Xenopus tropicalis: one gene and its partners. The protein of the gene in region 1 interacts with the protein of each later gene in a pairwise test. Links are inferred from orthologs where the notes say so. Each region holds a gene or a part of one and is shown on either strand. Other genes may lie near its edges.

Evidence for each region.
Region 2: the proteins of stac3 (region 1) and ppara interact in a two-hybrid assay, tested with the Homo sapiens proteins (2 studies listed by BioGRID). The two-hybrid records come from large-scale screens. The link is inferred for Xenopus tropicalis from reciprocal best matches to the Homo sapiens genes STAC3 and PPARA.
Region 3: the proteins of stac3 (region 1) and l3mbtl2 interact in binary tests that used the Homo sapiens proteins (3 or more experiments, as listed by UniProt). The two-hybrid records come from large-scale screens. The link is inferred for Xenopus tropicalis from reciprocal best matches to the Homo sapiens genes STAC3 and L3MBTL2.
Region 4: the proteins of stac3 (region 1) and zcchc10 interact in binary tests that used the Homo sapiens proteins (3 or more experiments, as listed by UniProt). The two-hybrid records come from large-scale screens. The link is inferred for Xenopus tropicalis from reciprocal best matches to the Homo sapiens genes STAC3 and ZCCHC10.
Region 5: the proteins of stac3 (region 1) and eaf1 interact in binary tests that used the Homo sapiens proteins (3 or more experiments, as listed by UniProt). The two-hybrid records come from large-scale screens. The link is inferred for Xenopus tropicalis from reciprocal best matches to the Homo sapiens genes STAC3 and EAF1.
Region 6: the proteins of stac3 (region 1) and srek1ip1 interact in binary tests that used the Homo sapiens proteins (3 or more experiments, as listed by UniProt). The two-hybrid records come from large-scale screens. The link is inferred for Xenopus tropicalis from reciprocal best matches to the Homo sapiens genes STAC3 and SREK1IP1.

What each region holds. Positions count from the first base shown.
Region 1 is NC_030678.2:140,076,167-140,081,367, reverse strand, and holds the start of stac3 (SH3 and cysteine-rich domain-containing protein 3), read left to right. Parts: upstream 1-1,724; 5' UTR 1,725-1,832; intron 1,833-5,201. UniProt on the Homo sapiens protein: Required for normal excitation-contraction coupling in skeletal muscle and for normal muscle contraction in response to membrane depolarization. Required for normal Ca(2+) release from the sarcplasmic reticulum, which ultimately leads to muscle contraction.
Region 2 is NC_030679.2:3,235,925-3,240,146, forward strand, and holds the end of ppara (peroxisome proliferator-activated receptor alpha), read left to right. Parts: intron 1-308; coding exon 309-469; intron 470-819; coding exon 820-958; intron 959-1,601; coding exon 1,602-1,801; intron 1,802-2,339; coding exon 2,340-2,787; intron 2,788-3,040; coding exon 3,041-3,288; 3' UTR 3,289-3,494; downstream 3,495-4,222. UniProt on the Homo sapiens protein: Ligand-activated transcription factor. Key regulator of lipid metabolism. Activated by the endogenous ligand 1-palmitoyl-2-oleoyl-sn-glycerol-3-phosphocholine (16:0/18:1-GPC). Activated by oleylethanolamide, a naturally occurring lipid that regulates satiety.
Region 3 is NC_030680.2:116,007,211-116,011,704, reverse strand, and holds part of l3mbtl2 (lethal(3)malignant brain tumor-like protein 2), read left to right. Parts: intron 1-73; coding exon 74-191; intron 192-447; coding exon 448-582; intron 583-1,513; coding exon 1,514-1,602; intron 1,603-1,956; coding exon 1,957-2,188; intron 2,189-2,375; coding exon 2,376-2,455; intron 2,456-4,494. UniProt on the Homo sapiens protein: Putative Polycomb group (PcG) protein. PcG proteins maintain the transcriptionally repressive state of genes, probably via a modification of chromatin, rendering it heritably changed in its expressibility.
Region 4 is NC_030679.2:37,640,121-37,645,315, reverse strand, and holds the start of zcchc10 (zinc finger CCHC domain-containing protein 10), read right to left. Parts: upstream 3,318-5,195; 5' UTR 3,240-3,317; intron 1,729-3,239; exon of another isoform or gene 1,713-1,728; coding exon of another isoform or gene 1,672-1,712; intron 1-1,671.
Region 5 is NC_030682.2:51,500,396-51,505,445, reverse strand, and holds the start of eaf1 (ELL-associated factor 1), read left to right. Parts: upstream 1-1,973; 5' UTR 1,974-2,389; coding exon 2,390-2,495; intron 2,496-3,306; coding exon 3,307-3,401; intron 3,402-5,050. UniProt on the Homo sapiens protein: Acts as a transcriptional transactivator of ELL and ELL2 elongation activities.
Region 6 is NC_030677.2:188,227,070-188,232,323, reverse strand, and holds the start of srek1ip1 (protein SREK1IP1), read right to left. Parts: upstream 3,022-5,254; 5' UTR 2,951-3,021; coding exon 2,938-2,950; intron 1-2,937. Other genes in the region: spliceosome-associated protein CWC27 homolog, read left to right, coding at 3,396-3,437. UniProt on the Homo sapiens protein: Possible splicing regulator involved in the control of cellular survival.

The DNA of each region.
Region 1 (5,201 bases):
ACATCCAAGGCCAGGGTAAGTGTAAGGGTAGAGCAGAGACAGTGAAGATACAAAGTTTCAGTACATACCTGCAGCCCTCTAACTGTTACTGACTTGTAGCTTCAGCAGGTCAAACCCATGTTGTGTGGTTTGTTTGGCTTCCCCATTATCTGCTCTTTGTATGAAAGATGCTCTGCCATATATAATAGGGTGACAACCCTGTGCCTCCTCTAAACGGGTGACATTTAATTGTTTTTATTATCACTGGTTGATCATTTGTACCACTATTCCATCTGCTGATCAAGATGTTGCCCTGCGCATGGTGCATCAGCAGACGAGCAAACTGGTGCTGGAAACACATATAAACTTATAGCTGCTCCATTCTAGAAAGTTAACCCCCCCCCGTAACAAATCTAGCTGCACATTAGCACTAAACGGAAGAGCGTCACAATAAAATGTACACTTTTTTATGCTATGAGAATAATTCTCCAGATTTTGAACAGAATAAAAAAAAAAATAGAATGTTGTGTTCTTTGGTCATCAAGGAGACTCATTGGAGACTCCCCTGCCCCCCTGAATTGGCTTCTGTGCCCACTCCCATATGAATCCCCACACCTGCCTGTTCTCTTACCTGAAAGCTGACGCGGAGCAGAGATTTATATGCAGTACTGGAGGAAGCAACCCCTGTGGTCCGGGCCCCCCTGTCCCCTGCCCCCCCCCCCATCCTGGTGACTGTGGGGTCTGCTTCCTCCATTCTTACGCCACTGTTAACTTTTAGTATGATGTAGAGAGTGACATGCTGAGACAATCTGCAGTTGGTCTTCATTTTTTATTATTGGTGGTTTCAATGCATTTAGCTTTTTGTTTAGCAGCTATTCAGTTTGGAATTTTAGCAGCTATCTGGTTGCTAAGTTTCAAATTACCCTAGCAACCAGGCAGTAGTTTGAGACTGGAATATGAATAGTAGAGTGGATGAATAGAAAGATAAGTAACCCCCGTTTGAAAGCTGCACAAAATGATACAAAAAATATAAAAAGACCATTGAAAAGTTGCTAAAAATTGGCCATCCCATGAAATTAATTTAAAGGTGAAACACATTTCCTGAAATTATTATAACAGAATGTTTAGAGCCAGTGTTGGAATGTTTTGAGTCTCTTGAATTCTATCCATGGAATGCAGTGAATGTGTTGGGTAAAATATCTTCCAATGCTTAGCATACTGACTGCCATTTTTATATTACACAAAGCATATAAACTGGTGATTCCCCAACACATAACCTTTAGTATTTCACAGAGCAATTTAATCTAAGCAATCTAAGCTTTATAGATGTTTTTCTTTCTTCTGAATAATTTACCTTTCTGTTTGCCTCCCTTCTGGAATTCCTTCTGCCAAACCACAAACAGGCCTGAAGCCTTTTCCTGGCATTTCATATTCATTAGTGGGAAAGAGGGAAAAAAAAGCACATTTAAAACCAAAACATATTATCATTTCCAAGTTGAATTCCAGTAAAAATAGGAATTGTTTTGTGTGTGTGACAAACTCCCAGGAATGAAATGACTCCTGCGCTTTCCTCAGTTTCCCACCTCTCAGCCACCTCTCCAATTCCTGGTTGGGCCTACTGCCTCCGTGCTATGGCTGCTTGTAAAGTTTCCGATTTCTCTGTGTCAGCCTTTGCCTCTCAGCTGTCCTGTCACCTCCACACTTGTCACTCCCTCTCCTCTGAGGAGCAGTTTGTTTCATTATCTGAGAGGAGTGAACGAAGGATCTCTGTGCCCCTCACCTAAGGTCTGAAAGTGCCTTCTGAAGACAAAATGTTCCAGTAGATCCCCATCTGAGAACTACAGGTGTGTAAGGTTTGTCTAGGCATTGTACGCCATTTCTGTTTGCCCTTTAATGCTTCTTTGTATTTCCTTTTAAATGATCTTTATGCCACATAAAACAAAATATCATGTACCTGCTTGGATTTCATTTTAGTTATCTTGTAAAGAAAATTCCACATACACAATGTTTCGGCCACATCAAGGTTGTTAATAAATATATTGATCTTTATCATTATTTATAGCAATGATATATTTTTGTGAGTTTAAATACAGTGGAACTGTAGTGTTTCAGCTGAGGCAGAAGCGCAGGGATTCTGATAGTTGTAGTTCAGCAAGAATTATGGGGGAAAGGGGGCAAGATGCCTATTCCTGAAATAGGCACATTACCTTGGTTTCATTTGCTTTTCTGACTATAGCAAGTCACTAACAAATGCTTAACACAAATTGTAAGCTCTTTAGACAAAGATTTATTGCTTTACAGGGGATGCAATCATTATAGTGTTTGTTCTAATACTTTAGATCACTGTATAGGGATTTCTTGTGACAGTGATTTATTTCAGTTTTAGAAATATTTTATTTATCTTTATGTTTGCATTTAATGTCTATATCCTGTTACTTCTGCCTTATGGCTGAGATTCTAGCTATCCTTATAAAATAACATTTGGTTATAAGAGTCATGGAGCACCGGTCCGGAACCCACTGTTTCCATCACTGCAGCCTTTACAGTCCTTAAATGGATACACGGAATGCTGGAAAACTAAGCTTAGGCAGCGCAAACCAAAACACTGTTGCAATTTGATTTTATATCATAAGTAAAAGAAAATCGAACAGATCTTGTTTCTTTAAGTCTTGCCTAGTAGTTAAAACATTTTTCAAACATTCTACTGCTTATTCATTCCCCCCGACATTATAATCTGATAATTTTTTTCATGCTGTGAAACAAGTTGGCTGCCATACATTTTAGAGAACCAATAAAATAGCTTATAGGCATATCTTATCTAATCGACTCATTTTCAAAACCCACTGTGATCACCCATCTTTCCTCCCAGTGTGTAAGCAATAAACTTTAGTGGGTGTGTCAGTGGCACTTTGCCAAACATCCGCTTACATTCCTGCCAATGCTGATTAAAAATGGGGATATTTGTGGCCATGTTTCCACTCCACAAGACCACACCCAAACCTGCCCATAACTCCACCCACTTTTCAGTAAGCCTGCGACCATTTCATAACCCAAAACATGAGACTGCCCTAGCTAAAATGGAATGGTTAGTGGCCAAAAAAATTGTCTTCTCTTGTCTTTAACTTTTATTTATTCTAGGATAATTCCATACTAGATATGTTAGGGGATCTAATGTAATTTAATCTCTTTACCTCTTGTTTGGTCCTAATAGCTGCCTCCTGGGGCTGTAAGGTAGTGTGAAACACACACATCACTCAGGTGCTGCCAAAGACTCCCCAATAAGAAACACCAGTATGTTCTTCCATTCAGTAGCAGCCTTTATACATGTACAGTATGTGTGTGAGTATGAGTGCCAGCATCTACATCTACTTCCATCCAAATATTTTGGAAGGTGCTTTCTCTTTACAACAAGATGCAAACTGCCTGTGTCACATTCACTGTTTCTGTCCTGTCTTTGGACACATAAGCTGTTAATTTTAACCCCTCGCATCTACAAAAAGTATACAGTCAGCTGCCAAGCCTTTAGAATTTGTGTGGGATGATGTCCCATCAGAGCGCTCAGACAGAGTACAGCTGTTATCAGCCATCAAACATGGCTTTTAATATCTCCAGGGCTTCAGTTACACTGCTTACGAAAATAGTTTGTCCACAAAACCCCAAGCACTGTCTGTGGTTAATATACCGAAAGCTTCAGGCGTCTATGGTTTTCTGCTTGCTGTATTTGCGTAATTATACTGCATGCATTCAAACAATGGTATTTAAACAATGTGTAGGTGGCATATAGGAATACAGCTGGTAGGGAGTATGGCGCCAACAGCTCTAGAACACCCTTGTGATGAAAGAATTTTCATAGTTCCAGAACGTTCAGTGAACTAGTGGTTCTCTGTACAAAATACGATGATGAAAGAATTTTCATAGTTCCAGAACATTCTGTGAACTAGCGGTTCCCTGTACAAAATATGAGATGAAAGAATTTTCATAGTTCCAGAACATTCTGTGAACTAGCGGTTCCCTGTACAAAATATGAGATGAAAGAATTTTCATAGTTCCAAAACATTCAGTGAACTAGCAGTTTTCGGTACGAAATACAATGTTCTGTTGCTTCATTAGATTACACATGGCACCCATAGGGATCCTCAAAGAAAGCATTTACTGACTGGATCAGATGTCGGATACAGGTATGAGATCTGTTATCTGGAAACCATTTATTTAGAAAGCTCCAAATAATGGAAGGGGACATCTCCCATAGACTCAATTTTACCCATATAATTTTATTTTTTTTTCTCTGTAATTATGAAACAGTGCCTTGTACTTGATGGTAGCTAAGCTGTGAATCCATATTGGTGGTAAAACCATCCATTGGGTTTGTTTAACGGTTTAATTATTTTTTTTTTTGTGGACTTAAAGTATGAAGATCCAAATTATAGATCCATATAGATTGTAAGCTCTACGGGGCAGGGACCTCCTTCATCTTGTGTTTCTGACTCTTATTCCAACTGCACCTTGTATTTATTGTTGTACTTTGTATTTATCCATTATCTTTTGTATTTATCCATTATCTTTAACCCCCTGTCTGTATTAATGAATTCTACTGTACAGCGCTGCGTACATAAGTAGCGCTTTATAAATAAAGATATACATACATACATTATGGAAAGAACCCTGAGCCTTCTGGAAAACAGGTCCCATACCTTGAACACACAGATATAATGCTAGTTAGCACAATCCTGTATTTTAGCCTCATGTATTTGGATTACTCTGTAGGCTACTGTATCTAGATAGCAGCCAAAATAAACTTATGGTAAGTCAGTATTTATGAATCAACCATTTTTATGGCAGTGTACAAAGGGGGCGAAAAATTAATAGAGGCTGAATCCTGCCTTTTTGAAGCTCAGCTGTTCTGTGACAAAGCTGGCGGCTCCAGAAAAAGGTTGTCATTACATTCTGACTCAGAGAGGCATGGGATTGATCTCTGCATTCGTTACATTCTTTTGTTCTTCAGAATTTAGAACCTTTGTAACCTTCTGGCACCCTACTTCCACTGTATGCTCTATGGAGCAGAGACTCACATACCTGTAGATACTGGAAATGTCTAAAACAAGAGAAAAACTTGTAGCTTCCCTAGTGAAATCCACTCTGCTGAAGCCACAAATCAAGAGAAGTATCTGTATTCTGCTGCAATAACTTCTACATGACTATGATGGAGCAAACTTACTGCCCAT
Region 2 (4,222 bases), on another chromosome or scaffold:
CTGGAGCCTCACAGAGCAATAGGTTTTTGGTTGCTAGGGTCCAAATTACCTTAGCAACCAGGGAGTGGTATGAGAGAGGGACAGGAATATGAATAGGGGAGGGGCTGAATAGAAAGATAAGGAATAAAAAGTAACAATAACAATAAAACTAGAGCCTCACAGAGCAATAGGGTTTGGCTGCCGGGGTCAGTGACCCCCATTGGAAGGCAAATAATTCAATAACTATAGAGAACATTCTATAAAATAGGAAAAGTTAATTTAAAGGGGAACCGCCTCTATAAGATGCTGAGATGTTGTTGTCATTGCAGACACCTTGTCGCCCGCGTCGAGTCCGGCGTCCGTCACCTTCCCCGCGGCTCCGGGGGGCGCAGAGGACGTGTCTTGCAAGTCGCTGAACCTCGAGTGCCGAGTGTGCGGAGACAAGGCCTCCGGGTTCCACTATGGGGTTCACGCCTGCGAGGGGTGCAAGGTACGGACTACTCTTTATGCTCAACTTCCCCTTGAATCTGAGTCGGCAGCCATATTGTGTGTGGCCCCTCCCAGGGGCTTCCTCTATAGCCGCTCTACTCGCCAAGGTTATGCACGCCCCCTGCTTAATATTTGTAGAGTGGGAGGGGGCGGCGGCTAAGTACCTGCTACAGATTTTCTTGCAGGGGGGCCCATTGCATTCTGGGTACGCCACTGTGGTGCCCAGTCGGCTAAATACTCGTTATCGGGATAATTGGCGGTTTCTTATTCTTACGCATTCCTGTTGCCGACGGCTCAGACTTACTCACTTGTCTTATATGGATTCTCCCCTCTGTGTCCCCCCCCCGGCAGGGCTTCTTCCGGAGGACGATCCGCCTTAAACTGGCGTACGAGCGCTGTGAGCGAATGTGCAAGATACAGAAGAAGAACCGCAACAAGTGCCAATATTGCCGCTTCGAAAAGTGCCTTAATGTCGGAATGTCCCACAACGGTGAGTTCCCCCCCCTGGGTAAGTGAATCCAATCCCCCCCCAGTACTTACCCAGGTACAGAGCTCTGATTCTCTGTACTTCCTGCTCCTGGGCTGCTCTCTTTCCCATGGTCAGGCAGGAACCTCCCCCTGGGTAAGTGAATCCAATCTCCCCCCAGTACTTACCCAGGTACAGAGCTCTGATTCTCTGTACTTCCTGCTCCTGGGCTGCTCTCTTTCCCATGGTCAGGCAGGAACCCCCCCTGGGTAAGTGAATCCAATCTCCCCCCAGTACTTACCCAGGTACAGAGCTCTGATTCTCTGTACTTCCTGCTCCTGGGCTGCTCTCTTTCCCATGGTCAGGCAGGAACCTCCCCCTGGGTAAGTGAATCCAATCTCCCCCCAGTACTTACCCAGGTACAGAGCTCTGATTCTCTGTACTTCCTGCTCCTGGGCTGCTCTCTTTCCCATGGTCAGGCAGGAACCTCCCCCTGGGTAAGTGAATCCAATCCCCCCCCAGTACTTACCCCGGTACAGAGCTCTGATTCTCTGTACTTCCTGCTCCTGGGCTGCTCTCTTTCCCATGGTCAGGCAGGAACCTTCCCCTGGGTAAGTGAATCCAATCCCCCCCCAGTACTTACCCCGGTACATTCTCTCGTTCCCAGCGATACGATTCGGGAGGATGCCGCGGTCGGAAAAGGCGAAACTGAAGGCGGAAGTGCAGACGTGCGACCAGGACACTAAGGACGCACCAATGGGCGACCTCCTCTCTCTGGCGCGGCTCATTTACGACGCGTATCTGAAGAACTTCAACATGAACAAAGTGAAAGCCAGAGCCATCCTGACGGGCAAAGCCAGTAATCCGGTAAGTGCCCGACCAATCGAATTCCAGTTCGCTACATTGTTTCAGGAGTCGGAACACGTCCTGCTGATTTGAATCTGTCGAGTTCACTATACAAACATGGTGCAATCGCACGAGTACAGAGTCCAGCGCTCGCTCGTTATTAACACGGAGGTCAAACAGGTTGGTTAAACCCAATTATTTAGGATTTATGACGCCATCTGCTGGTTGGTTGTAGTATTACATGAACATTTTTTATAGGGCAATTATTGTAAAGGGGGGGTTGTTCCCCTTCAGATTAACTTTTAGGACGATGTAGAGAGTGCTATTCTGAGACAGTTTGCAGTTGGTCTTCATTTTTTACTATTTGCAGCTCTTCAGCAAACTGGTTGCTAGGGTCGAGAAATAAACAATGAAGACCAATTGAAAAGTTGCTGGGAATAGGCCATTCTGTAACATGCTATACTCATCTATTGGGCAGTTTTCCCATCAGCCCTTGTGCTATTGGGGCTAATATGGGTCACTGGGGAGAATCGGTTCTGACCATAGAGTTTGTCCGCAGCCGTTTGTTATACACGACATGGAGACGCTGTGCATGGCCGAGAAGACGTTAGTGGCCAAACTGGTGGCCAACGGCATCCAGAACAAGGAGGCGGAGGTGCGGATCTTCCATTGCTGCCAGTGCACGTCGGTAGAGACGGTAACGGAACTGACGGAGTTCGCCAAATCCATCCCCGGCTTCACCGAGCTGGACCTCAACGATCAAGTGACTTTGTTAAAGTACGGGGTCTACGAGGCCATGTTCGCCATGTTGGCGTCCGTCATGAACAAGGATGGGATGTTGGTGGCCTACGGCAACGGTTTCATCACGCGGGAATTCCTGAAGAGCCTGAGGAAGCCCATCGGGGACATGATGGAGCCCAAGTTTGAGTTTGCCATGAAGTTCAATGCCTTGGAGCTGGACGACAGCGACCTGTCTCTGTTTGTAGCGGCGCTCATTTGCTGTGGAGGTAAGTGAAGGGGTTAATGAGTGATTCATTGGGGGTGGGGAGGAAAGGAGATCTCACCATCAGCATAGGAAGGGGTTCCTTACTGTAAGGGCAGTCAGGTTATGGGGTTCCCTACCCAGAGAGGGGGAATGAGTGATACATTGGGGGTGGGGGGGAAAGGGGATCTCACCATCAGCATAGGAAGGGGTTCCTTACTGTAAGGGCAGTCAGTTTGTGGAATCCATAACTCTTGTTCCCTAACCCCGCCCCCCAGACCGCCCGGGATTGGTGAACGTTCCCAGCATAGAGAAGATGCAGGAGAGCATCGTCCACGTCCTGAAACTCCACCTCCAATCGAATCACCCTGACGACGGCTTCCTCTTCCCGAAGCTGCTGCAGAAGATGGCCGACCTGCGCCAGTTGGTGACGGAGCACGCGCAGCTGGTACAGACCATCAAGAAGACGGAGACGGACGCGGCGCTGCACCCGCTGCTGCAGGAAATCTACAGGGACATGTACTGAGCGCTCGGCCGCTTTCTCCTTTAAAGATTTTACTTTTTTTTTTTTAAAGATTTTTTTTATTTTTCCATATTTTTGGACGGGAGCAAAATCAGCAGAATTGGGGCTTATTTACTTGTGCCTTCTCCTCCAGCCATGGCAACGCTTCCTACAGCCTGCACTACAGTTCCTGGGGCGGGCTATCTGCCCGGGGGGGCGGGGGCAGACTATCTGCCCGGGGGGTGGGGCAGACTATCTGCCCGGGGGGGTGGGTCAGACTTACTGCCCTGGGACGGGGGTCAGACTATCTGCCCTGGGACGGGGGTCAGACTATCTGCCCTGGGACTGGGGTCAGACTATCTGCCCTGGGACGGGGGTCAGACTATCTGCCCTGGGACGGGGGTCAGACTATCTGCCCTGGGACGGGGGTCAGACTATCTGCCCTGGGACGGGGGTCAGACTAACTGCCCTGGGACGGGGGTCAGACTATCTGCCCTGGGACTGGGGTCAGACTATCTGCCCTGGGACTGGGGTCAGACTATCTGCCCTGGGACGGGGGTCAGACTATCTGCCCTGGGACTGGGGTCAGACTATCTGCCCTGGGACTGGGGTCAGACTATCTGCCCTGGGACGGGGGTCAGACTATCTGCCCTGGGACTGGGGTCAGACTATCTGCCCTGGGACGGGGGTCAGACTATCTGCCCTGGGACTGGGGTCAGACTATCTGCCCTGGGACTGGGGTCAGACTATCTGCCCTGGGACAGGGGTGAGACTATCTGCCCTGCCCTGGGACTGGGGTTAGACTATCTGCCCTGGGACTGGGGTTAGACTATCTGCCCTGGGACTGGGGTCAGACTATCTGCCCTGGGACTGGGGTCAGACTATCTGCCCTGGGACAGGGGTCAGACTATCTGCCCTGGGACTGGGGTCAGACTATCTGCCCTGGGACTGGGGTTAG
Region 3 (4,494 bases), on another chromosome or scaffold:
AGGGGGTTTGGCCTAATGCCATACCATCATGGGTGTTTTGTACCTTCAGTCACTGAATTCCTTTTCTGCACAGGTTCCTCTCTGTGATCAGTGGGATGATATTGTAGAGGGGATTAAGGTAGAGAGTTTAAATACGGATGCTGTTCTTCCCAGTCGTGTCTATTGGATTTCTTCAGTTGTCAAGATAGCAGGTAGGACTGTAACTGCAACTGTCCATCTGTTTTTTTTTTTATATTTCTCTGTGGCCTGTGGAATTCTGCAAAAGAAAATAAATCAACTTCCGCATGGGGCAGATTCTCTTCTGATGTGTGCCATAGCCCGTCTAATATAAAAATATGCACCAGCCTTACTCCGATAATAATATATATAATATATACATAATGTACAAATTTTTTATATGATATATGTTCTTGCATGTACCTAAAACTGCAATGCTTATTCCTTTAGGTTACAAGGCTTTACTTCAGTATGAAGGTTTTGAAGAAGACTCGAGCCATAACTACTGGTGCAACTTGGGAACAGTGGAAATTCATCCCATTGGATGGTGTGCAGTAAACAGCAAAATATTGGTTCCACCCCAGTGTATGAAATATTTCACAGAATAAAAAAAAGTTTTGTGTGTGTTAGTATGGGTGTTTTCTAAAGACAGCTGTACTTCCAGTCATGTCTATGGAGAGAACTGAAAGGGTGAGGCAACAGATGTATATGAGGCTTCCTGAGCGGAGTTGTTAATCCTGAAATGTGTGCTTTTACCATGGTTCTTTTCGGTGAGGGCAGTGAGATTGTGGAATGCCCTGCGGATGATGCTGTGATGGCAGACTCTGGTAATGCCTTAGTGCCTAATAAGATTATCAGTACCCGTATATAAATGATCTGTATCTTCTAAAATACATTTTCACTATATGATATTACTGGTTCTTTATGCTGGTGGGCTTGGGGGTTTGGGTCTGTTATTGGTAATCATGGTCTCAACTTATTGTGGCCTTGGGCAAAACCTCTGTGCCCAGGATATCAAACTCATATTAGGCTATGTGGATACGTAACGGGGTTGTTTGTCTTTAAAATAATGTTTTGCATGATGTAGAGAGTGCTATTCTGTGATAATTGTTTTATTATTTGTGTTTGTTTAGTTATTTAGCTTTATATTCAGCTGGTTGCTGTGGTCTAAATTAACCTTACAGCCAGGCATTGATTTTAATGAGAGGCTGGAATTTGAATAGGAGATGGCCTTAATATAACGATAAGTACTTAATTGTAGCATTTTTTGCTGGGGTCGGTGACTCCCCCCCAATTGAAATCTGGTGAGAGTCAGAAGAAGAAAGCAAATAATTCAGAAACTATCTATAAAAAAAGAAAAAGTCCAATCAAAAAGTTATTTGAAAGTCAACCAGCCCCTTAATTAGTATCTTGTACAAAAGAAAATACCTATAACACATGGTATAGAAAGCAAAAAAGAGAACTTCAAATTACCCAGAAACTGAAGATGATTTTCACATGTTTTCTTACCTTGCAGCCATCCTTTCAAAGTTTACAGACTGGAGAGAATACCTTATGAAGAAATTGGTCGGCTCCCATACCATACCTGCGGATTTCCATGTCAAGGTTATCTAAACAGATGCAGAAATGTGTATTTGTCCCTTGTTTACATATATAGACTTGTGAAGAAGGAACAGAGGCATGTGTTTCTAAGATCCTTGGATAGCAAGTGGGACCAATAGGGTTGGACCACTAGGAGGGAGGTGTTTGGGGGCACCTTGATGATATAATGGTAAAGTCTGTAATTGCCCATTTACATTATGAATAATAATATAGATAAGAATGAGTCCATCTTGCCCCCGGATTAGGGATTGTATATTTCTCTGGGTCCTGGGAAGCTTTTACTGCTTTTCTTTCATTCTTTAGTCTCCGCCTTCTGTCTTTGGTATTAATTACTAATTCAGGAAAAATTATGTTCAGATGGCAGAGAGCTTCAGATGCCCATTCAGACAGGGCATGCGGTTGGAGGCTGTAGACAAGATGAAGATGTCACGAATGAGATCGGCAGTGGTGGATACAGTAATTGGAGGTCGAATGAGGCTTTTGTATGAGGATGGAGAAAAAAATGATGATTTCTGGTGCCACATGACCAGCCCTTTGATCCATCCTGTAGGATGGGCTCGTAAGGTTGGCCATAATATCAAACCTCCAGGTAATTTTTTTCTGTATATAGTTCCTAAATGTTGTATAGAAATATATCTATTGCATCCTTCCCAGCTAAGGTTTTTTGGTTCTTGGTTAATACAATACAGGCTTCTGTCCAGTCACTTTTTGAATTGTGTTGTGGAAGGGCAGAGGACTTAGATTTTGTAACTCACTATTGTATATCTTTCTTTAAGACCTGAAGCGATTTGAAATGTCCAGTCATCCCACTTTCCGCAAGGTATACTGTGATGCAGTGCCTCACCTCTTCAAACAAGTAAGAGTAACAGCCAATGAACAATAAGGGTAACCTTGTAGAGAAGGTGGTAGAATGCCAAGACATTTAATTTCCCAACATATAGGGGCAGATTTACTAATCCACGAACAGACCAAAAGCGTCCGAACGCGTTTTTTCGTAATGATCGGTATTTTCGCGACTTTTTAGTCGCCGTCGCGACTTTTTTGTATATTTTCCGCGACTTTTTCGTCGCCGTCACGAAAAAAATCGGATTGGGTTTTCCGGCGTTTAATATCGCGCAATACAAAAAAATCGAGACGGCGACGAAATAATCGCACAAAATACGATAAAGTCGCGACGGTGCCGAAAAAGTCGCGACAGATACGAAAAATCGCGAGGGCGACGAAAAAGTCGCAAAAAGTTTCCAATACAATTTTTTCCCTTTCGGGATTCGGATTCGTGGACTAGTAAATCTGCCCCATAGTATTTCTTTTTTTCCCTGCAGTCACCGCTTTATTAACCAAATGTATGGCTTGTATTGTGCATTATGTTTTTCTCAGTAGGGCCAGGTTAAGAGCTACAGGTGCCCAAGGTTCAGACGCTCCCATGTCTGCCCAACCTACTTGCCAACTGCTTGCATTCTCAGTGCTGCAGGCAGCAGATGCATGATACTAGGAGCCCCTTAGTTGCACCCTAGACACCTGCTTCTTCTGCCTCTGGCCCTGTTTCACAGCTACAATGTTAGTGGCAACAGAAATTCAACTTAAAAATTGAAGTTGTGTCTTGATCATCAATTGCTTAGACCGTTACTTCCAGCAGAAACTAAATTAACTTTAAATTAACTTCATTTTAATTTAATTTTTTTATTTTTTATTTTATTAATTTGTGTTTTTTCAGAATAGTACATTCTATGAAATAGTGAACCACCCCTTTAAAAAACTTTAATGTGGATGTTCAGTTTTCAAACAAAAATGAGGGGTACAAAAGGGTAGGGATGACCATCAGACAAATTTTGCCCATCAGACAAACCCAGTGACAAGTCAAGACAGCGAGTTAATTATTGTTAAGAATCTGGAAACCTATTGTGAAGGGGTTTTTTTTTTTTGTCTAGGCAGTAGTCTAGCATAGCATTCCTAAGCTTGTATGAGGGCTTTAGATTTTAAAAAAAGAGAGCCATGGCTCCCATATTTTCTAATATATGCTGCTTCTGTTATGTATAATGTGTGTAATCCTTTCTAGTTTTCTCATCTCTTCCACTAGGTGGCCATTCCATATACTTTTAATAGCATTTTCACATTATCTCCCACTACAACTGCTCTTTGCTGGTCCAGAAGTTGGCACATCCCGTTTAATTTCCCCCACCACTGAATGGTTTGGGAGCTTCCATTTGGATTAATTTTTATATATATTTTTTTTATGATTTGATGGTATGATTCAGCCAATTGGATCAATAGCAAGCAAATTAAAGGGACATACTGAATTGCTAAATGTACGCCTTTGCCATCCTGTTTGCAGGACATGAGGTCACAATCAGGGTGTTGGTGGCTCCCATCCTTAGTTGAAATTGGAGAAACTGACCAACAAAAAGTAGCTGCAATAGTAGAAAAGGCCTAAAGCAAAACTATACATCCAAACCCTGCTTCATGTAAATAAACTGTTTTCATAAAGATATGGCAGTATGTGCCACTGGAGAATCCTAAATAGAAGATTGCTCTTTTAAGTACTATGGACTGCCCCCAGGGATCATTAGATTCACAGTGCACACAAACAAACCAAGGCACACATACATGCTAGGTCACATCAGCCAATTAATAAGGACAGTTCTGTCTTTTACTCCCACACTACTTCCTGTTACAGCTGCATTATTTCCTGGCAGGTGGCAGCTCAAGGAAAAAGATTTAAAAGGGAAATATCTGTAGGTTAAGTATTCATTCTGGGGGTATAGTTTTCCTTTAACTTTTAAAAATGAAGATTAGTTAGAAAAATGTTTTTCATTACATGAGCTGTTCACATTCAGACAAACATTAGAATATTAACATCCCCTTTCATTAAAAAAAAAATGTGTGGTGTTACAGTGC
Region 4 (5,195 bases), on another chromosome or scaffold:
CAAGGTACCGGGAGTGCTGGGAGTCCTGACCAGAGAGTACAGTACAGTATCAAGTTCTCAGGGAGGGGAGTTACGGTCCAATCTGTCCCTACTCTGGGTGGAGGCACGCCGGATAAGGGATCTTTCCATAATTTGGATCTCCATGCCCTATTAAAAAATCATTTAAACCCAGTAGGATTGTTTTGCCTCCAATAAGGAGTCATTATATATTAGTTATGATCAAGTACAGGGTACTGTTTTATTAATACAGGAATAAAGGAAATCATTTTTAAAAATTGGAATTATTTTCTTGTAATTGAGTCTATGGGAGACAGCCTTTCCGTAATTCAGAACTTTCTGGATAATGGGTTTCCGGCTAAGGGATCCCATACCTGTATATATAAATATATATGTAGCCCACTTTTGCTATGTGCCTTTTCTCCTTTGAATGGCTGCCTCCATGGCTACATAGCAGCTTATTTATATAAATTATAGTAGACTTTCTGAAGTAAACACCCAACTTTTACCAGTGCAGGGCAGCAGCACATTATATTTTAGCTACTTTTATACACTTTCATTTTTTGGTGTTACTGTTCCTTTAAGGGCCTCCTTCTGGGATCATAGGATTCACAGTGCACACTAACAAGCCAAGGCACACATACACATGCTAGGCCCCATCAGCCAATTAAAGGACAGAGTTCTGCCTTTTGCTTCAACACCTCTTCCTGTTAAGCCGGCCATACACACACTAATATTATTGTACAAAACCTTGTTTCGTACGATATCTGGTACATGTATGGCGGCTCAAAGAGGCGACCGATATTGGAGAAGGCTGCGACTCGTTGAAAGGTTAAAAGATTTAATGGCGGCCGAGCAAAATCTACTTTTAGAGCTGAATCGCCAGGTGGAGGTAGAATTCCTATTGTTTCTACCTCCATATCGGACGATTCAGCCCTGAACATCAGTGGAGGGTGGAACGCACTTGTGTGTAACCAATGGTCACATGAAAGATTGGAATTGCTACGTGTATGGTCACCTTTACAGTTAGAGCTGCATTATTTCTCTGTGATCTCTGAGGGAGCGCATAGCCCATCACTAAATGGTGGCTCAAGGGAAAGGAAGCAAATGGGGCAATATTTACTGATATATATATTCCAGTTTGGTAAAATTTTTTACTAGGTCACTTAACACAATATAAACTGCTGTGTTGGTTTAGTATTTATTCTTGGGGTATAGTTTCCTTTGCCAAAAATTCCAAACTACATTATCACCTATGAGTTTTAGACCTTCCCTTTACAATCTTTACATTTAGTTCTACCTATTGTAAAAGCAATGGACGTTTGCGTCTGTGAATATTTGTGCTATTATTCTTCAAATTCACGTGGCAGTTCACCAAAGCGCCCAAATGACCCAAGTATCACGATTCCACCGCCCCCAACTATGCCCCTCTTCTAGCCATATACGGCTATGTATACCTCTAGCACGGGCAGTACATATGCTCCTCCCACCTAAAGAGCCTCCAATCTCCAACTGAAGAAGCCAATAAATCCTGACACAATCTAGGCATAACATTGCCCCGCCCCCTTTATGCACGTCTTAAAGTTTCAATACCCCCGTCCGTACCAAAGCCTTATTTAGGTATATTCATAATATATGTACCCTGAGCCCGTCGGGGCCCATCGCTTTACTTACGCCTGTCTACGAGCGATCAGCCGGTGCATGGGGGTAGCCATGTCGAATAAGGCCAATAGACAACCCACTGCATGCCGGGAAACTGCGCGCTGCAAGAAATGACTGACTCTGTGACGGAAAGGCGTTATTTGCGTGCGGGCGATCGGCGCCATGATTGATGAGGGCATATTCCACACATAATGCAAAATAGTACAAAGAGGATGGAACATATTTTTATGTTTGCATTTTGTGTATATTTTGCAGGGTACCATGACATTTTCATTCTTTCTTATTTTGTTGCTCTGTGAGATAGTGAAAATGCTTTGCTTTATATTATAAGTAAGAACTTAATAGGTATGTTTTTGCACACATGCACCCTTCACTTTTCTAAATTGCCACAGGTCTCTGTGTACCACATGGCAGACTACACTGTTAGAGCTGTCATCCCTGGGAGATGTCTCTCTGGAAATTGTTATGGCATGTGCAGTGTGCCACCAATCTGGTGTGGGTGTGTGCCATTATTGCACATGCGCACAATGCACATGATGTCACTGAATGATCACTGCGCATGTGGGCGATATCGGGCGAATTTAGGCAAATTTGGTAATTTGGCCCTGGGGCCAAACGATCAAATTAGAACAATGGTAATAGCCACAGTTAGTTCAGGGACAGCATCAACAAGCCGATGTAGTGCCCGATCCAACTCAATTTTTCAACCTGCCCGATTCTGCTTAGATGTCAGTCGGGCAGGCCCGTTGTTATTGCCCCTACATGGGCCGATAAGCTGCTGAATCGGTCTAAGGGACCTATATCGGCAGCTAGAATCAGCCCATGTATGGCCACCATAACTCTCCCTACTCTTCAGCATACTCCCAACAGCTTTCTAAACCTACTCACATAATCTCTACCCAATCCAGTTGGTCTGCTCAGCCCTGCCCTTTTTGTGCATAGCTCCTCCCCTCTTAGCTCTGCCCTCACCACCACTGCACAGACCCTTATCTGTAAAGGCCAGTGTTGTCGACTGCAAAAGGTGGCAACCCTATCTGGCAGCAATGGAGGCTGGCTGTAAGCACAGGTCTACCTTGTGTCTGCCAGCACTGCACCTAGAGCCTGATCTCCAATCTAGTACTAAATGCAGAGAGTAACCAGACCCTGGAGACAAGTACTTTTTAAATGAGCACTAATGGGAGCACTTTTGAACCCTGTGCTCTACTTGTGCATCTAAAAACACACAACGAAATATGAATGCAATGAAATGCAACTCTGAAATCAGTTAGCTGATGTGCTCAAACCTGCGTGTCAAATGCAGAAAAAATACCTGTGTGTAAGAGCCCACTGGTAGCCTAATTAGTCAAGCCTATTTTGTTTCAGAAGTGCTTATGGTTGCCTCCTCCCCCCCTTTAAGACTGAACAAATATTGCTTGAATCCTGTGTGAATAATTAACTGATCTTTCAGATGTATACTGGGAAACTGTACAGAAACCAGTTTAGCCTGCAGTTTGCCGGAAAGTCTAGGATAAGCTTCTGTTATTCTCTGATAACGCATTGGCCTTGCCACAAATCTAGTCCTTAGCTCTGCTGAAAGTTACCTGTAGGCTGAAGAGAGGGAAGAGAAGGGAAGGTGCAGTCTGCAGGTCAAAAAAGGAGTGTGGCTTGCAAGGGCCTATCACATGGGGGCCCAGGTGATTTGTGGGCTAATAATTGGTGCCCCATGGGGGAATGGCCCTGCCTACTTAGTAGTATGTAACCCCATGGTTACTGATGTCAGCCCTGTACCAACGTTTAAAATTAAAGCAGAGTTTTTCTTGTATGAGTTTTATTAAAATGCAAAAGAAGGTACAAGTAATGCCTGACAATATAGAATAGCAGTAACACTTTGCCACAACACAAAAAAGCAGATGGAGAAAAGACCATCTGTGATATCATGCAGAAATGTAGGATAAGACTGCAGGAGAGAAAAGGGAAATATGCAGCTTCCATATGAATATAAACAGATCTTCCTGGAGAAGGAACTGAAAAGAAAGTAACAGAGAATGGAAAACAAAGCCCACAAAGGGGAACAGTGTGCATTGTTCATGATGCCAAAGGAATGCAAGCAGTCTGGCAACTTAAGAAAATGTCCAGGGGCAAAAAAGCAAAAGAACCTTAACAATAAAATAGCTGGACAAAGAACTTGATGAATACATATCCAAGAAAATGCATGAATGACCTTGATGCAGAGCTGGAAAACTCGGGCAAGACCTCAACCAGGATTGATCAAGGGCAGTTAGGAGCCTAACACTGACCAAGGACATGTGGACAATAACAAGTCCAGAACAAATGGCAAATAAACTTTTATTTTAGTGCAGGGATCCCCAACCTTTTTTACAAGCAAATATAAAAAGTATTTTTTTTGTGTGAGCCACACAAGCATGAAAAATTATCTTTGGGGATGCCAAATAAGGACTGTGATTGGGTATTTGGTAGCCCCATTTGGACTGCTAGCCTGCAGGAGGCTTTACTTGGAGTAAAACTACGCCTCCATGCTTCCAAAACTTACCTCTAAGCTAGAAATGAAAAATAGGCACCTACTTTGAGGCTACTTGGAGCAACATCAAAGGGGTTGGTGAGCAGCATGTTGCTCACGAGCCACTGGTTAGGGATTACTGGTTTAGTGCATACAGAGAACTTGCTTTATCCTTTACTATTTTGTGTTTGTTGAGGTTAATGCTTTTAAGTTTTGTTTATATTCCTGTAACATTAATGTTTGTGGAAGGAGTGAAAGGAGTAACAGGGCCATGCATCAGTAAAACAATACCCAAAGACACAAAGGTTTTGTGTTTGTGTAAAGGTGGCCATACATTGTAAGAGCCGCTTACCGGCCCACCTAGGGCCAAAAAATCTCATTTAAACAGTGGGCACAGGTGCTTTCGGTTCGGGTACCGCATCAACAACCCGATGCAGTCAATGGAGAAATTAAACCTGCCCAATCGAGATCTGGGCAATTTCATTCCAGATGTTGGCCAGGGAGGCCTGTCGGTGGAGGCCATACACGGGCAGATAAGGCGCCGAATCGACCTTAATCGTCCCGTGTATGGCCACCTTAAAACTGGTCATACACGTAAAGATTTGCACATAAAGATTCACTTGTTTGGCACAATATTTCCTCAATATGCCCATATTGAGCTGGGCAATATTACTGAGCACTAAGCACTTCAGAGTTTCATAACCTGGAACTCCTTGGTGACTTGTAATATCCTTGGATTTTACAATAGGGGGTACATTATTCACTACATAATACACTAGTCATAAATATCCTGTAAATTATACAGGCATAGTACCTGTTATCCAGAATCCATCGGTCGCACGAAACATCGTCAGATCCGCCACACACCCTTCAGGGCTGAATCGGCAGGTAAGGAGGTAGAAACAATGGGATTTCTACCTCCTTCTGCCGATTCAGCGCTGAAGGGAGATTTTGGTCAGGCGCCTTCTATGGTGCCCGATCAAAATTTTTTAAACTGGTTCCGATCGGCGAGTCGGTCGATATCAGCAGCTTCCTGCGA
Region 5 (5,050 bases), on another chromosome or scaffold:
CCGGATGGGATTCATCCCAGGGTATTAAATGAGCTGAGCGCTGTGATTGCCAAGCCTCTTCACATAATTTTTCAGGATTCGTTGAGGTTTGGCATGGTGCCGAGAGACTGGCGGATTGCTAATGTGGTGCCGTTATTTAAAAAGGGATCTCGTTCTCAGCCTGAAAACTATAGGCCTGTTAGTCTGACATCAGTAGTAGGAAAGCTTCTGGAAGGGGTAATAAGGGATAGGATAGTTGAATACATTGCAGTTCACAATACTATTAGTTTGTGCCAGCATGGTTTTATGCGTAACAGATCTTGCCAGACTAATTTAGTTGCCTTTTATGAGGAGGTGAGCAGGAACCTTGATGCTGGAATGGCAGTTGATGTCATCTACTTAGATTTTGCTAAAGCGTTTGATACAGTACCGCACAGAAGGTTAATGATCAAATTGAGGAATATTGGCCTAGAACATAATATTTGTAATTGGATAGAAAACTGGCTGAAGGATAGAGTACAAAGAGTGGTGGTAAATGGAACATTTTCTAATTGGGCCAGTGTGGTTAGTGGAGTACCGCAGGGGTCAGTCCTTGGTCCTTTGCTTTTTAACTTGTTTATTAATGACCTGGAGGTGGGCATAGAGAGTACTGTTTCTATTTTTGCTGATGACACTAAATTGTGCAAAACTATAAGTTCCATGCAGGATGCTGCCGCTTTGCAGAGCGATTTGACAAAATTGGAAAACTGGGCAGCAAACTGGAAAATGAGGTTCAATGTTGACAAGTGCAAAGTTATGCACTTTGGTAGGAATAATATAAACGCAAACTATCTACTGAATGGTAGTGTGTTGGGGGCATCCTTAATGGAGAAGGATCTAGGGGTTTTTGTAGATCACAAGTTGTCTAATTCCAGGCAGTGTCATTCTGTGGCTACTACAGCAAATAAAGTGCTGTCTTGTATAAAAAAGGGCATTGACTCAAGGGATGAGAACATATTTTTGCCGCTTTATAGGTCCCTGGTAAGGCCTCACCTTGAGTATGCAGTGCAGTTTTGGGCTCCAGTCCTTAAGAAGGATATTAATGAGCTGGAGAGAGTGCAGAGACGTGCAACTAAACTGGTAAAGGGGATGGAAGATTTAAGCTATGAGGTTAGACTGTCGAGGTTGGGGTTGTTTTCTCTGGAAAAGAGGCGCTTGCGAGGGGACATGATTACTCTGTACAAGTACATTAGAGGGGATTATAGGCAGTTGGGGGATGTTCTTTTTTCCCATAAAAACAATCAGCGCACCAGAGGTCACCCCTATAGATTAGAGGAACAGAGCTTCCATTTGAAGCAGCGTAGGTGGTTTTTCACGGTGAGGGCAGTGAGGCTGTGGAATGCCCTTCCTAGTGATGTGGTAATGGCAGACTCTGTTAATGCCTTTAAGAGGGGCCTGGATGAGTTTTTGAACAAGCAGAATATCCAAGGCTATTGTGATACTAATATCTACAGTTAGTATTACTGGTTGTATATATATAGTTTATGTATGTGAGTGTATAGATTGGTTAGTATAGGTTGTGTGCTGGGTTTACTCGGATGGGTTGAACTTGATGGACAATGGTCTTTTTTCAACCCTATGTAACTATGTAACTAACTATGTAACTATGAATAGTAACAAACAGCTAAAGGAACTACATTACCCAGCATGTAATAGGAAACTCAGCAGTAAACAAAAAAAGGAAAGGAGGTCCAGCAGAAGCTAAGATTAGATTGTCACGCTTGAAGCTTGCATCTCTTTTTTAGAATTTGGCAGGTTTTTACATGAGCAAGATCAGAAGAAGGTTGACCTTACTGACGACCCGTAGTAAGGAAGTGCTCGGAGACTGGAGAAATGGGTGCAGTAAATCAGCAGAGGGCGGAGCAAGTGACGGAGCTGTATTTAATTATTGAGAACGATGTCTTTAGAGAGGCTGTTTGAATGACTCTTCCTGAGTATAATAGTGGTGGACTCTGGATAATTTATCATTACTGCACCATTGGTATCTCTTTTTAGACTTGCAGACATAACATTCACAACATTGCGGAGGGGGCGTGGAGAGATGGATACAGCGTCACATCTTTAACACTGTGCTGCTACGGATCTTCATTTTGATCTGTGGTATATAACATATCCGTGGGCTTTTTGGTGCGGTGACTGTTCTTTTAAGCATGAGCTTTTATAACCTGCGCTGGGTTATTATTATAAATATTTGAAGGTGGGGTGTGGAATTTGTGACAGGTTCTATTCCCTACGGTTGGTGTGATAATCCCATTGCGGGTTAGTGTCGTGCACCTGCGCTAACTAAAATACTTGTGGACGGCTATTCCAGCTTTAATTATTTTATTGAGAATCATAATTAAGATTTCTTGTAGTAGCTGGAATTTCAGCAATGAACGGGACTCCACCCCCACCGCCGCTGGACCGAGAGGAGCACATCCTTCGCCTCGGTGAGAGTTTCGAAAAGAGGCCCCGCTCTTCTTTCCACACAGTGCGCTGTGAGTACAATGACATCACACAACTACACCTGTATGGGGCGGGGCTTATTTGTGGCTTCACGTCTGTGGAAAGGGGTTAAAGATGATTGGGAGACCTTTATTCTAAATTTTATGTCTTGCTGCCCTTAAACTTACAGTGTGTAGGTTCAATAACAGATAAATATGTTATATTTGAAAAGAAGCAAAGAAGCACATTTGTCAAAGTGCAAATCCCATAAATCTTTATAATTTTATGGACTGATGACAGATATCACGTGTTTACAGTTCCAATAATGCACATGAAGGGCAGCCATACAGGCTATCGCCTTGCAAAGTTTATTAATCACATAACATCATAACATAAGTTTTGAGGGCAACCCTATTGTCAGGTGAAATATATATCTTTTTGTTGTATTTCACTTGATGAAGGGGGCTGCACTGAAATTTTTTTTTTTTTGTGATGAAAAACTGGTTTTAAGGCAAAATCACACAAAGAAAATCCTGTGTGTTGTCACTGGATAAAGTCTGGCTTATAACAGCCAAGCATAGTACTGCGCAGGCAGCTACGTGGTGCTGAAGTTTATTACTGTTCATTAAATACAATGACAATAGTGCATGTTTTGTGTTCACAGTAAACCAAACCTACATGCAAGAAAAAAAATAGGCTGTATTTTTCATGATTTTCTTCTGTAATACTGATATACAAATGTTCTAAATGTGAATTACACTCTAGTAGGTAATTTGTTTTCTTTTACACATGACTGGAAATGAGGGCATTATTCACTAATCTTCTTTATATTCAACGCTATTAAATACCTTATGTTCTTTTTAGATGATTTCAAGCCAGCATCCATAGACACTTCTTGTGAGGGGGAACTTCAGGTTGGCAAAGGAGATGAAGTAACAATAACCTTGCCACATATTCCTGTAAGTCCTGTCGTACACTGAAAAAGCATCTGAAAACATGTGGTGTGAAACTTTCAGTTAGACTGTACAGAATAAGTGCATATGGTATGCATGGAACATTCTTTTTCGGTATGAGGAGATTGGTTGCTTATTGTGGAAGCTACCTAATATGAAATCATGTAGCAGTCAGGGATATGAGGCATGTATTCATTTAACTACAGCTCTTAGAACAGCCATCACTATTGGAGCATCAGTAATTGGTGTGCTGACAATTCAAAACTATTAATGCCAAGCATGATGCAGGCCTCCATGCCCAGATCAGTCCTGTAAAAAAGTCTTAACATTTATCCAACAGTATACATTAAGGGGTATATTTATTAGTATGTAAGCCAACATCACCGGTGATGTTGCCCATAGCAACCAATTAGCAATTAGATTTGAACAGACAACTACATGTTAGCAACCAATTAGATCTTTGTTTTCTAACTTTTAGGTGTTCAGATCTAATTTGTGATTGGTTACTATGGGCAACATCCCCAGTAATATTGGCTCACACACTATATTAAATATGCCTCTCACTGTATTCTGTCTACATCTGTCCCTCACCATGGTCATCAGTAGATGGCTAGAAACATTGGTGTCATTCATGTAAAAAGTAGGTGATGAGCACAGTGATTACAAATAAAGGTTCATTTATATCCGCAAGTACAGCAGGCAACTTGCACTTTTTCCCACAGTCAGTTGAGGGTAAAGCCACTTTCATTTAAGGTACTTAAATGCACTTCTTGCTGCTCCCTATAGTTGTGCTCAGTGCCGCTCAGTCCATCCTGCCTTCAGTAACAAATCGTGCACTGCTGTGCATAGGCGGATTTTCAATAAGGCTAGGGGAGGCTAAGTCTCCCCAAACCTGCTCTGCACCTTTAAAATAGAAAAAAAAATCAATCAGTTTCTGCACTGCTCTGGAACATTGGGGAAATCTTCTTGCATTCCTCCTTCCTGCAAGCTCTGGTTCTGTTGTAATCAGCTGTGCTCTGATTGGATCTTCTTGTGGCTTCTCCAATCAGAGCACAGCTCTCTTGACAGACAGTAACATTGACCAATCAAGGTACAGATGTAGGCACTGCAGAAATGAAGACTGTTTAGATGAATCTGCAGGCTGTAACTTTACCTAAGAACCTCACCAATTCTTCATTCCACAGGTACTATACTTTATATCTTCTAAAGGCTGAATCAATAGCTGAAATGAAATAGTTTTTTGTCATCTGGCATCTGTAATTTTCCTAACCCCCCTACTCCAGTCCTAAATTAACTCTTTCCCCCTGAAAAAGCTCATTGTGCTTTAATATATTTGTTGTTGTTTTTTGCACTTACTTTTTCTCTTACTTTTGTTAGTGTTTTGTTCATTTCTCGTTAGTTACAGTGAAGCCGTCATGAGACTGCATAGCTGTGAAACAAACCAATGTTGTGTTTCAGTGCCAGTGTTATAGTGCCAGGGCCTGAATATCTGCCATCAATATCTGCCAACCAGAAGAAAATCCACTACTTCTCACATTAGCTTTAAATCAGTCTATGTATGGCCCATCTTTAGCCTCCCCAAACAAAAAAAGTCACCCTCCGCCTATGCTGCTGTGCCTATTGACACGGGGACCCTGGAGCCACCGGCACCTCCG
Region 6 (5,254 bases), on another chromosome or scaffold:
TTGTTTCATGAAAAAAATCACGAGGCACACCACCATTAGAAAATGTTAAAAAATTTAACTCTGTGCCCAGCAGCAGTGCCCCCCTAGTACATTGGTGCCCAGCAGCAGTGCCCCCTAGTACATTGGTGCCAAGAGCAGTGCCCCCCTAGTACATTGGTGCCCAGCATCAGTGCCCCCCTAGTACATTGGTGCCAAGAGCAGTGCCCCCCTAGTACATTGGTGCCAAGAGCAGTGCCCCCCTAGTACATTGGTGCCAAGAGCAGTGCCCCCCTAGCACATTGGTGCCAAGAGCAGTGCCCCCCTAGTACATTGGTGCCCTGCCTACGGCACACCAGGCAACAGTGGTTGAAAAACGCTGCTCTACACTGTTGGCCAGGGCCCTTGCTAAAGCCATAGCCAGATCCAAGTATTGTCCTTTAAAAAGGAAAATCATTTCTGTTCAGGTCCTTTAGAGCCCAAAGTTAACAGACGACTGAAACAGAATATACAGCAAATGCTTTAGACAGAGTTCTCTATTTGGTTGAGGAGGATATAAAAGTTTACATTTGGCAACCCTTTCCTTTCTGACAAGTTTTATCAAAGGCCTCTCCAGTCATGGAAATAAAAAGGTTACTTTTTTTAAAGCGTAAATTTAATGAGTTTTAACCAGACCACACTACTTTACACAGCATGCAGCACTATCGAAAGGCACAGCATAAGTGACCCATTTTCACTGTTGACAGCATTTTCTCTTTAGACCTATGGTGCACACAGCATCATACTGGTATGAAGTATCCATATTCAGGGCGGGACCATAGTGCCCTCCTTACACTCACAAATGACTCATGAATCACTAATAGAATGACATGCTTATATCTGGGGGACACTTGCTACTAATAACCACTTTTATTAAAAGTGAATACAATCAAATATGCCTGTGGCAGAAAGGTGCTGAGAGTTAGACCAGTCATGCACACAGCATGTTAAAACCTGTTCATAACACCCATCATGTTTACAGGGTAACCCTTTTGAAATAAAAAATAACAAAAGTGGTATAAAGGTGATACCTTTATTGGCTAACTAAGATAATCATAGCAAGCTTCCAGAACATTTTAGTTCCTTTTTTCTAGCCAATAAAGGTACAGGTATGGGATCCCTTATCTGGAAACCCATTATCCAGAAAGTTCCGAATTACGGAAAGGTCATCTCCCATAGACTCCATTTTAATCAAATAATTCACATTTTTAAAAATTATTTCCTTTTTCTCTGTATAAATAAAACAGTACCTTGTTCTTGATCCCAACTAAGATATAAGCAGTGGGGGATTTTTGGTCCCATTTAAAAACTGTTGAAGTCACACGGAGCTACTAGTAGCAGCTACTTTTTTACAGCTACTAAATGCCAGAAAATCCCCTGCCATAGACAATACTGAGAATTGCCTCTGCTAAAAAACATGTTGAGACTGTTATCCAGGGCTGTGGAGTCGGTAGAAAAATTCTCCGACTCCTCAGTTTCTGATACTTCCGACTCCTCTGTTTTTAATATGCGAATGTATTTTATACATTCATACAGTCAGTGAAAAGCATGCTTCATGGTCACTCAACGTGTTAGTTTATGCACTGCGTGCATTGGGCTTTATTCTTATAGCAGAGAAGTAATTAATTATGACTGTTTGTGAATTGGGACATTTAAACTTGCTTTATTTTTTTTTTTTTATTCCCATTTAAATTTAGTAGGAGTCGGAGTCGGTTCATTTTTTGCCGACTCCGACTCCAGGTACCCAAAATTGCCTCCGACTCCTCGACTCCGACTCCACAGCCCTGCTGTTATCAGTAAATGATCAGCATTGTCTACTACAAGTAGCAGCTACTATTAGCTCCATGTGTCTTCACCCTAAGGGCTCTGGTACATGGGGAGATTAGTCGCCCGCAACACGGGAGATTTGTCGCGGGCGACTAATCTCCCCATGTACTAGAGCCCTAAGGGTACAAACCCACTGAGTGAGTTAGGAGAGATCTATCACATGTGAGTAACTGCTTCGAAAAGGCTTTCCACAGGTAACAATAGAAGTCGCTGGTGGAAAGCCCTTTGTATCGTTTCGTGTTCCGAAGTTGCACAAAGTTTCCTCCTGCAGGCAACTCTGCGTGAGTAGTCCTTTTTGGAGCAGCTACTCGCATGCGATATTGTGGGCAAGTAACTCGCTCGGTGGGTTCTTAGCCTAAAGCTGGCCATACACGGGCAGATCCGCTCGCTTGGCGATGTCGCCAAGCGAGCGGATCTTCACCCGATATCACCACCTACGGGTGGCGATATCGGGGAGGAATTTCGGTGAATTCGATCGTTTGGCCCTGGGGCCAAACGATCGAATTCTGCAAGCAGCAATGGGGCAGTCGGTTCGGGGACCACATCAACGAGCCGATGCGGTCCCCGGTCTGACAGGATTTTCTAACCTGGCCGACCGATATCTGGCCAATTTCAGGCCAGATATCGGTCGGCCAGTCCGATCGTTTCTGCCCCTGCACGGGCCGATAAGCTGCCGAGTCGGTCCAAGGGACCAATATCGGCAGCTTCTATCGGCCCGTGTATGGGGACCTTAAGAGCCTGAAGACAAAGGCAGAAACAACCGAAAATATAAAATGAAGACTAGTTGAAAAGTTGCTCAAAACAGGCTATTCTATAACATACTTAAAGTTTAACTGAAGGTGAACCACCCCTTCAAAAGCAGAAAAAAATGATGTCCTACGTATTTTGGGGACTCGGGCATAAAATAGCGGGGGATAAAACTAATTGGGTTGGGGAGTTGGGTTGTGTGCGTACAGTGTACAGTACAACATAATGCACTTTGCAGAGACTTTACACATGTCGAGTTCAGACTCGAGCCTGTATTATAAAAGTCCTCTCTATCAAAATCAGATGGATCAGGTGAGGTAAAAAACGTGATTTATAAATCAGACTAACCTGGGACAGCCATAAGTCACAATTCTCAGCGTCCGTACACAGAAGATCGCACCCCTCAAACAGTTACTGCGCGCCTCCTAACCAATTCACTTCCTCGGAACTCAATCACAGCATGGACTTGTTTCTCAGCGGAACAGAATAAGCGGTGCGCAGTGGAACGCAAATGAAAGCTCTGGTTTCCGGGAAGTGTACTTTCGGCCACACTAAGAGAAAGGGGGGAACTAAAGCAATGCAACTCTGGTGTAATCATCCTCTGCTGTAGACGCTGTGATCTTGGAGCATTCGGGTAACAAAATACGAGCTACTATATAACTGTGGATGGGACGAGTCCTGTTAACGCTCTTTGCTGTGTCATTTTTAAATCAGAATCTTCTCTGGCACCCCTCTGAGGCTGTATGTGGGCGGTCCCGTCCTGTCAGGTTGCACGCTGGAGTTTGTTTGCAAGAAGCTGAGTAACAATGAGCAATATTTACATTCAGGAGCCGCCGACAAACGGCAAGGTGAGCAGCGGGAGAAAGTAAGGGGCTTGTAGGGCAGAAGGATAAAGGAATAATATTTAGCATGGGATTCCCATCTGCTGTTGCTGAAATATCTCTCCCAGCGCGGTACCTGATAAAGGAAATGTAAAGTCTATAAGTAAATTTACTCAATGTTTTTCTGTGAAAATACATTTCCCAGGGTAAATGTTTTAGTTTCGCGTCATGTAGCTGCCCCCCCCAGCTGTCAGCACATTGGTATAATCCACATGGGGAGCAGAGAGGACTGTGCTGCGCTTTATGGAGACTCCTCCTGCATATTCAGCCCTAGGACAGAGCTTCTGAGCTGACTAACTAATGTCCTGCTAGGAAGGTGCCCAAATGCACCAGTGCAGGCTGTCCTTTAGTTACATGAATGGGCTCCAGGCGAACCCCAGCCACATATATAGGCTATATACCAAACTAACATACCTAAACTATATATACCAACATCAATACTAACTGTAGATATTAGTATCACAATAGCCTTGGATATTCTGCTTGTTCAAGAACTCATCCAGGCCCCTCTTATAGGCATTAACAGAGTCTGCCATTACCACATCACTAGGAAGGGCATTCCCCAACCTCACTGCCCTCCCCGGGGCGTGAGGAACCCCCTACGCTGCTTCAAATGGAAGCTCCGTTCCTAAGGGGGGGCCTCTGGTGTGGTGGTTGTTTTTATGGGAAAAAAAGAACCCCCCCATCTGCCTATATTCCCCTCTAATGTACTTGTACAGAGTAATCATGTCCCCTCGCAAGCGCCTCTTTTCCAGAGAAAACAACCCCAACCCTGACAGTCTAACCCCATAGTTTAACCCTTCCATCCCCTTTACCAGTTTAGTTGCAGTCTCTGCACTTTCTCCAGCTCATTAATATCCTTCTTAAGGACTGGAGCCCAAAACTGCACTGCATACTCAGGGTGAGGCCTTACCAGGGACCTATAAAGGGGCAAAATTATGTTTTCATCCCTTGAGTCAATGCCCTTTTTTTAAGCACTTTATTGTAGCCACAGAATGACACTGCCTAGAATTAGACAACTTGTTATCTACAAAAAAAACCAGATACTTCTTTATTAAGGATCCCCACAACACACTACTATTTAGTGTGTAATATTATTACATTATTATATTATTTCTACCCAAGTGCATAACTTTGCAGTTTTCAACATTAAACCTTATTTGCTGCCCAGTTTTCCAGCTTTGTCAGCTCTGCAAAGCGGCAGCATCCTGCATGGAACTTATAGTTTTGCACAATTTAGTATCATCAGCAAAAATAGAAACAGTACTTTCAATGTCCACCTCCAGGTCATTAATAAACAAGTTAAAAAGCAAAGGACCAAGGACTGACCCCTGCGGTACTCCACTAACAACACTGGCCCAATTAGAAAATGTTCTATTTACCACCTCTCTCTACACTGTAATCTATCCTTCAATCATTTATTTATCCAATTTAAAATATTATGTTCCAGTAGTGCTGGGCGGTATACCGGTATATACCGAACACCATTTTTTTAAAAAAAAAATGATAAAAATTTTTAACTTACCGGCATACCGGTGTGGGCGCCTCCTGGCAATTTTTCTTACTATTTCCGGGTTGTGCGCGCTGACGTCGCGCGTGCAACCCGGAAATAGTAAGAAAAATTGGGGGGGGGGGGGTGTTTGGGGTGGTCACCTAATCATGCATGGGGAAAAAAAAATACCGTCAAATACCGTGATACCGATATAATAAAAAAAATACCGTGATATAAATTTTTGGTCATACCGCCCAGCACTATGTTCCAGGCCAAATTTTACCATTAACTT